Macaca mulatta: one gene and its partner. The protein of the gene in region 2 interacts with the protein of the main gene of each other region in a biochemical or structural test. Links are inferred from orthologs where the notes say so. Each region holds a gene or a part of one and is shown on either strand. Other genes may lie near its edges.

Region 1 (3,811 bases), on a different chromosome or scaffold from region 2:
GCCCCCACTCAGGCTAGGGTAGGCTGTCTCTTCAGGGTCCAGGGGGGTGGGCAGTGGTGGGGGAAAGTGCAGGTTGGTGAGGTCAGGTAGGGAGCCCCCCGTGTTCATGGCAGGTGGGAGGACAGGCACATTGGCAGGCTGGTCAGGAGATGGAAAGATGCTAGGGGAAGGAGAGAAAAAGAAAGATGTAAATAGGAGTGGGGTGCGGTGGTCAGGGAAGAGCAGAGATCAGTCTTCTACATCTCCCTGTACTTCCTTCCCCCAACTCTCAGCCAACCTCAGGGAATACTTACTTAATTCCAGGGACTTCACAGGACCGAGGTCGGGAAGAGGATGAGGATAGCTGAGGAAAGAAGGAAGAATATGGAAAATGAGGACAGTGCTCAGTGCAGAACCCTGGAAGGCCTGCCCCATGGCAAGGGGATAGCAGAGAGACTAGTGGGTGACACCCGGTGGCCTCCACCTACCTTCTTAGCATCCCATGGCTTCAGCAAATGCTTGTCATCTAGCAAGTTCTCCTCAATAGCAGGTACTTGAAAGAGAAAGACTGGTGATGGGAGAGTTGGAGAAAGAGCCCATAAGGCAGGACAGGAAGCAGAAGCAGGCGGGAAGGAGTCCTGCTCCCTGAACCTGCACACAATCCCAACACCAGCCCAGAAATTGTTTGGCATCCAGTACCCACAGCAGTGAGGAACACATACCTTTGGGGTCCATTTCACCATCCAGAATACCTGCAAGGGATACAGTGGCGTTGGCTGCAGTGCCCACTTGCCTACCTGCTTTAAATAGCTCCGTGGAGGCCAGGCGTGGTGGCTCACACCTGTAATCTCAGCACTTTGGGAGGCCGAGGCGGGTGGATCACGAGGTCACGAGTTCAAGACCAGCCTGGCCAAGATGGTGAAACCCCATCTCTACTAAAAACACAAAAAATTAGCTGGGCGCGGTGGCAGACGCCTGTAACCCCAGCTACTCGGGAGGCTGAGGCAGGAGAATCACTTGAACTCGGAGGGCAGAGGTTGCAGTGAGCCGAGATCGTGCCATTGCACTCCAGCCTGGGCGACAGAGTGAGACTCCGTCTCAAAAAATAATAATGAATGGATGAATGAATGAATAAATAAATAAATAAATAAATAAATAAATAGCTCCGTGGTTACTCCCAACCCTGGGACAGGGCCACTTACCCCCACGTCGGCTGGGCAGGATGCTGGGAGGTGTGGGGCCTGGGTAGGTATCCTGGGGACTGGGGTTCATCACACTTGTATGAAGGGCAGAGTCAGAGCTTGTCCTATGGGGGGAGCAGGAATGAGCTGACACCAGTGACAGTCTTCCTGGTCCCTAAGCCCTGCCCAGCAAGGGAAAACACTAGCTGGGCTGGAAATGGGGGGTGGTGAGGGAACAGGGCCCCAGAAACTACAGATAAGAGGAGATGTGGCCTAAAGAAGGCAAAGGCCATCACCTGTTAAGTGCAGATGGTAGTCGAAACAACTGCCCCTTCTCTGCAGGGAAATTGCCCCAGGGCATCGTCCTGGGGTAGAAAAACAAAGTCATGAGGAGGAAGGCTGGCAGTGGACAAGAAGGTGGGTATAGGGGTTGGAAAATGTGGGGCAGCCAAGATGGAAGTGAAGATGGCTAGGCACCCAGATCATCCCCTTTTCTTTCTGTTTCTTCTCCTGTTTATGATTGACCCCTCCCCCAGTCAATCTAAGAAAGCTGGAAACCTCTCTGCCAGGACCAGCTGAATGGGAATCTTGGAGCCCAGCAGCTCTTCTGGGTATGAGCACTGAAGGTGAGATGGACAAGGGGAGAGTTTCAGAAATCTAAAAGTGCCAGAGCACTACATCTTGCACCCACCTTTGACAGAAGGTCACCATTTTCACCTGCCCCTCTGCCATTCTCCCCTCCCCCTTACACACACACCCCAAGCTGGCTACAGTTCCCATTGGTTCTGCTCTAGCTGGACTGGGAGGCTTGACCACTCGTGTCAACATGGCCAAGGCTGGACTCTGACCCACCTACTCCAACTGCCTCCACCTCTCTCAGCCCTGGCGTTATAGGAAGAGGTACTGTTGAAACCTTAGCTCAGTAATCCCAGCCCCAACCCAGAAGGGGCAGCTCCCTCCAGAAACATGGCAGAGAGTAGGCAGGAGCTTCCGCCTGCCCTGGACACTTACCTTCGCCAGCTAGACTCTGGGGGAGGAGATAAGTAGGCAGGACTGTAGGGAGAGCTGTCAATGTGAACAGCACCAGTTAAGGAAAAAAGTAGAGAGGACAGATGAGATAGAGGCCAGATGAGGAAAGAACAGTGGAGGCAGCAGATAAGTTGTTTTGAGAAACACATACCTTTCTCCTCTTCTATAAGGGACAACGATAGGATCAAAGAATGGAAGAGAAGAAGGGAATCAGGTCTAACGGGGCTGAAAAAAATCCAGGAGAATGTCCAGGCAGGACTTCGAGGATACAGGTACACATGTCTCTGAGACTGAAAACTCAGAAATGTGAGGAGAAGGGACGCAATCTCCTTTAGCAAGAGACAAGGAAGGCTGCCTCTGGCAGCAAGCTGATGTGAAGACAGCCAGAGCCAGCCAGAGACAGGGGGCACAGCCTCAGGAGCAAAAACTCCTTATCACAGGACCAGGTGCTGATGCAGGAGCTATGGTTGTTTTCAGGGAAGCTGGGTAAAGAAGAGCTCCAGGAGAAGGATGGGACTGCACAACACTTCAAGTGCTTCCTATAAGTCCCTGAGGAACCCCATCCCACTATCTTTCAGACACTCCCAAGTCCCCTGTGAAGGATATGTGGCGGGGGTATCGGCGAAGTGGGGACACCATTCTTCGAGGATCTCGCTGCACCCGTTCCACCAGCCCATGGTGCCGTGTGCTTCGAGATGAATCCAAAGGTGAGTGGAGGGGGCTCTGCCAAAAAGGACAGAAGTCAGCAGAGGAAGCAGCCTAAAGAACCTCCACTCCTCCCTGGCTGGTGTCTACTCACCTGGAACTCGGCCAGGCCAGAGCCAATCTGGTTAACATTGGGCAGAGACCCACCATAATGAGAGCTCCTTGTGTACGCCAGTCGCAGTTTTTGGGCCTGTAACTGAGACATGGGGAACAAGTGGGAATGTCAGGAAGGTCCTGAGCACTATTTCCTTCAGTCATCCTTGCCATCTCTGTCACCAGGATATGCTGCTGCTGTCACTGCTTTTAAAATATCTAGGCCAGGCACAGTAACTCACACCTGTAATCCCAGCACTTTGGGAGGCCGAGGTGGGTGTATCACGAGGTCAGGAGATCGAGACCATCCTGGCCAACACGGTGAAACCCCGTCTATACTAAAAATACAAAAAATTAGCTGGGCGTGGTGGCGGGCACCTGTAGTCCCAGCTACTTGGGAGGCTGAGGTAGGAGAATGGCGTGAACCCGGGAGGCAGAGCTTTCAGTGAGCCAAGATCGCGCCAGTGTACTCCAGTATGGGTGACAGAGCGAGACTCCGTCTCAAAAAAAAAAAATCTAGGCCAGGCACAGTAGCTCACACCTGTAATCCCAGCACTTTGGGAGGCAGAGGTAGGAGGATCGCTTGACCCCAGGTATTGGAAAGCAGACTGGGCAACACGGTAAGACTCCGTTGCTACAGGAGGATCGCTTGAGCCTGGGAGGTAGAGGCTGCAGTGAGACGTGTTTATGTCACTCTGCTCCAGCTGCCTGGGTGACAGAGTGAGATCCTGTCTCCAAAAAAAAAGTAAATAAAAATAAAGAAATAATCTTCCAGAAGAAAGGCCAGTGTTGGGGTTTGAAAGGTCCACTGAGATTTGGTGCAA
Region 2 (3,811 bases):
AAACCGCCCTCCTATGATGCGAGTTTCAAAAGGCAGAGGAGGAAGCGCTCACCCTGGGTGAGGGAGGTATCCGATGCTCTGCGGCCCTCTCTGAAGCTCACTGGAGACCTGTTGTGGACCTCTCGTTTCTGGGAGCTCAGAGCCTGCATGGCTGGGTTGGTAGGTCTCAGGCTTATGAAGGGAGATGTCATGCGGGGTGAGGGCTGATTGGCTAACATGATGTCCTTAAGGGATGGGTTGTCCTCCAGAAAGTTCAGGTCCCTCTGAACAGACCCCATATCATACTCCGAGTCCACACTGTCAAGGGAGGGGCTATCATTCATGGAGAAAATTTTCCCTTTAAGAGAAAACAGAACAGATAAAACCAACAGCAATAGCATCTTCTTGGAACATAGGGTACAAAGCATAACCAGCTTGAGACTTGACAGCTACCATGTCCTTAATCTCCAATCAAAACATCTTTTCAGAGGTTTACTTTTTACTGGCCAATTTAGTCATCTTCAAGTTTAGTGGGGAAAACACTCCAGAAGTGGCATCTGTAAGATCACAGCCACTCCAAAAGACTGTAAGATCACAGCCGCTCCAAAAGACTGTAAGATCACAGCCGCTCCAAAAGACTGTAAGATCACAGCCGCTCCAAAAGACTGTAAGATCACAGCCAGTCCAAAAGACTGTAAGATCACAGCCAGTCCAAAAGACTGTAAGATCACAGCCGCTCCAAAAGACTGTAAGATCACAGCCACTCCAAAAGACTGTAAGATCACAGCCGCTCCAAAAGACTGTAAGATCACAGCCGCTCCAAAAGACTGTAAGATCACAGCCACTCCAAAAGACTGTAAGATCACAGCCACTCCAAAAGACTGTAAGATCACAGCCGCTCCAAAAGACTGTAAGATCACAGCCAGTCCAAAAGACTGTAAGATCACAGCCACTCCAAAAGAGCCAGAGTCCCTGATGAATCATGTGGCACCCAGATGAATCCTGGGGACTACGGGAGCCAACTCTGAGACATTTCAATTCACCTTTGATAGCTGCTGCCAGGCTGCATCTGCGATGCCTGCTGAATCTGCTCCATAAAGGAATAAGCTATCGATTCAATTTTAGGAGTTGGCTGGCATCATGACCACTTGTTGGCGATTGGAGTATGAGATGATGCCATGAAGACTTAAGCTAGTGTCGCTCCTCTACCGTACCTGCTCCAGGCATCACGACCAGTTGATTGGTCACTTCTGACAGAGTGTGCCGTCTCTGCCCGCTGCGTGTGGACTGAAATGCCTCAAAGGCATGAGCGGGGTCTTCCTCAGCCTCTCCTTCTGTCTCCAGCCCTTCGTCAATGGAGGTCTCCATCATGTTGCTGGGCAGTGACTGGCATCCCTTCCGCACCAGGACAGGAGGCACAGGGTCAAGCAGACAGCCATTGACCTAAACGCCAGGGGAGAGAGGAAACTCAGTTTCTGCATTGCTGAGACAGAAAAATCCACAAAGGAAAACATGTCAAGACTTGTGGAAAACTAGAAATTAAGTAAAATATTTAAACATGCACATATTTATTATGAATGACAACACACATAGATTAGAAGTGAAGGCGAGTCAACTGCAGGACTCAGAGAGAGACAGAAGCCCGTGATGACCTGAACTGGCACTGCTGCCCAGGTTTCTCTGAGTCATCATTATTAAAATAAAAAACTTTTTTTTTTTTTTTTTTTTTTTGAGACGGAGTCTCGCTCTGCCACCCAGGCTGGAGTGCAGTGGCCGGATCTCAGCTCACTGCAAGCTCCGCCTCCCGGGTTCACGCCATTCTCTGGCCTCAGCCTCCCGAGTAGCTGGGACTACAGGCGCCCGCCACCTCGCCCGGCTAGTTTTTTGTAGTTTTTAGTAGAGACGGGGTTTCACAGTGTCAGCCAGGATGGTCTCGATCTCCTGACCTCGTGATCTGCCCGTCTCGGCCTCCCAAAGTGCTGGGATTACAGGCTTGAGCCACCGCGCCCGGCCAATAAAAAACTTTTTTAGTGGTTTCCAGAAGAACAGGGGTATATTAGTTTGAGGCCTACCGGTTATTTTTTTTTTAAATAAGGGAAATGAAGAGGGGGAAGATGAGTTTTTTTTTTTTTTTTAAACTGCATGGCTCACTGCTAAAAAAAAAAACAAAGGGGGGGGTAGTCACCTTTTCAACCACAAACATACTGGAAGGTTTTAGAAAGACTTTTATGTTCATAATTTAAGTACCTGCCCATTTGTTCTAGTCTTTAATTGGTTCTCTGTGCCTGAGGAATGGAAAGTAAGAATTCTATATAGACAGACTGATACCACAAAAAGGATTGAAAAAAATTCAAATGGCAGACAGCCAAAGCCTTCCATTGTAGAACAACAAATGGCTCACTGGCCCAAAATTCCAGCAAAGGCTAATAAGCCCCAGGGCACTGAATTCTGTCTCCTGCAGCAACATATACGTTATGGATGGTTCCTATCCCACAGGGGTGAGCGCGGCACAGCTCCCTGCAAGCACTGGCCCTTCCCATGCAGTTGCCACGCAAACCGCCCAATGGCAGGCAGAACAGCACACCGGCGGCAGGGTGGGAGTGGGGGGGTTTGTGGTTGCAAGTTCAGGCTGGAAAGGCCCCTGTGAGGAGGTAATTATTTACCTCATTACCTTAACTATTCCCCCGTGGAAATCAATCTATTTTCTCCTATGAATAGCTGCTCGGGAACAGCCAGTAATAAGACGCTTCGTTCTGAGCAGTACTTTCACCTGGAAAACACTGGGTAGAGCTGCTGTTTCCTTTGGAAGCAGGAGAAGCTCATGTATGTGAGAGGTGGCGTGGGGTTTCCCTTTGCCAGACACACAGGAAACTTTCCTCTTACGGCAGCCAATCTGAAGGCGCGGCGAGGCCCTTTATTTGGAGAAGGAGACTCGGGTGACTCAGATCTTTGTTTGTTGCAGGGAGGGGAAGGTTATTCCATAAAATCCATTCTGGGCTGTAGCCCTCACTCGGGTAAGGTGGCTAATGCATTACAGGGTTTTAAAGTGATGAGTGGTCATTTAAGAGGAAGAGTGGCAAATGCTTCCTTTCCACATTGGCCAACCTTCCCCATGGCAACAGAAAGCAAAACTCTGAAACCTGGCCAGCAACTCTTACTCTCTCCTTGGTCCTTCCCCAGATAAACTTTCCTTTCTGACTAAACTTAATAGTTTCCTTGCAAGAAAGAATGGCTGTTTGAGAACTTATATTCATACCTCTAAGCTCCTTAACTCTCTACTAATACAATTTTCTAAAACTAGCCAAGAATGGTTTAGAAATGAATAAGGCAACAGAGAAAAGAAGATCATTAAGTAATTATCTATTGAGCATCCTTATACTTACGGCTGCCGTCAAAAGACATTTCTTATAGGATAAGCCATACAAGTAGGCTCTTTTTTCTTTTCTTCAATTTTTAAGTTCCAGGGTCCATGTGCAGGATGTGCAGGTTTGTTACATGGTAAGCGTGTGCCATGGTGGTTTGCTGCACCTATCAACCCATCACCTAGGTATTAAGCCCCGCATGCATCAGCTATTCTTCCTGATGCTCTCCCTCTCCCTACCCCCCAATAGACCCCAGTGTGTGTTGTTCCCCTCATGTGTCCATTCTACTCCTACTTATAAGTGAGAACATGTGGTGTTTGGTTTTCCGTTCAGCTGAGGATAATGGCTTCCAGCTCCATTCATGTCCCTGCAAAGGACATGTTCTCAACCCTTTCTATGGCTGCGTAGTATTGGTGTACATGTACCACATTTTCTTTATCCAGTCTATCACTGATGGGTATTTGGGTTAA

The links.
Region 1: of the proteins of SIK2 (region 2) and CRTC2, one has a biochemical effect on the other in vitro, tested with the Homo sapiens proteins (2 studies listed by BioGRID). The link is inferred for Macaca mulatta from reciprocal best matches to the Homo sapiens genes SIK2 and CRTC2.

What each region holds. Positions count from the first base shown.
Region 1 is NC_133406.1:113,081,546-113,085,356, reverse strand, and holds part of CRTC2 (CREB-regulated transcription coactivator 2), read right to left. Parts: intron 3,091-3,811; coding exon 2,989-3,090; intron 2,913-2,988; coding exon 2,796-2,912; intron 2,237-2,795; coding exon of another isoform or gene 2,234-2,236; coding exon 2,172-2,233; intron 1,526-2,171; coding exon 1,457-1,525; intron 1,286-1,456; coding exon 1,182-1,285; intron 732-1,181; coding exon 702-731; intron 548-701; coding exon of another isoform or gene 533-547; coding exon 468-532; intron 344-467; coding exon 294-343; intron 161-293; coding exon 1-160. UniProt on the Homo sapiens protein: Transcriptional coactivator for CREB1 which activates transcription through both consensus and variant cAMP response element (CRE) sites.
Region 2 is NC_133419.1:112,460,156-112,463,966, reverse strand, and holds part of SIK2 (serine/threonine-protein kinase SIK2), read right to left. Parts: intron 1,423-3,811; coding exon 1,194-1,422; intron 338-1,193; coding exon 53-337; intron 1-52. UniProt on the Homo sapiens protein: Serine/threonine-protein kinase that plays a role in many biological processes such as fatty acid oxidation, autophagy, immune response or glucose metabolism.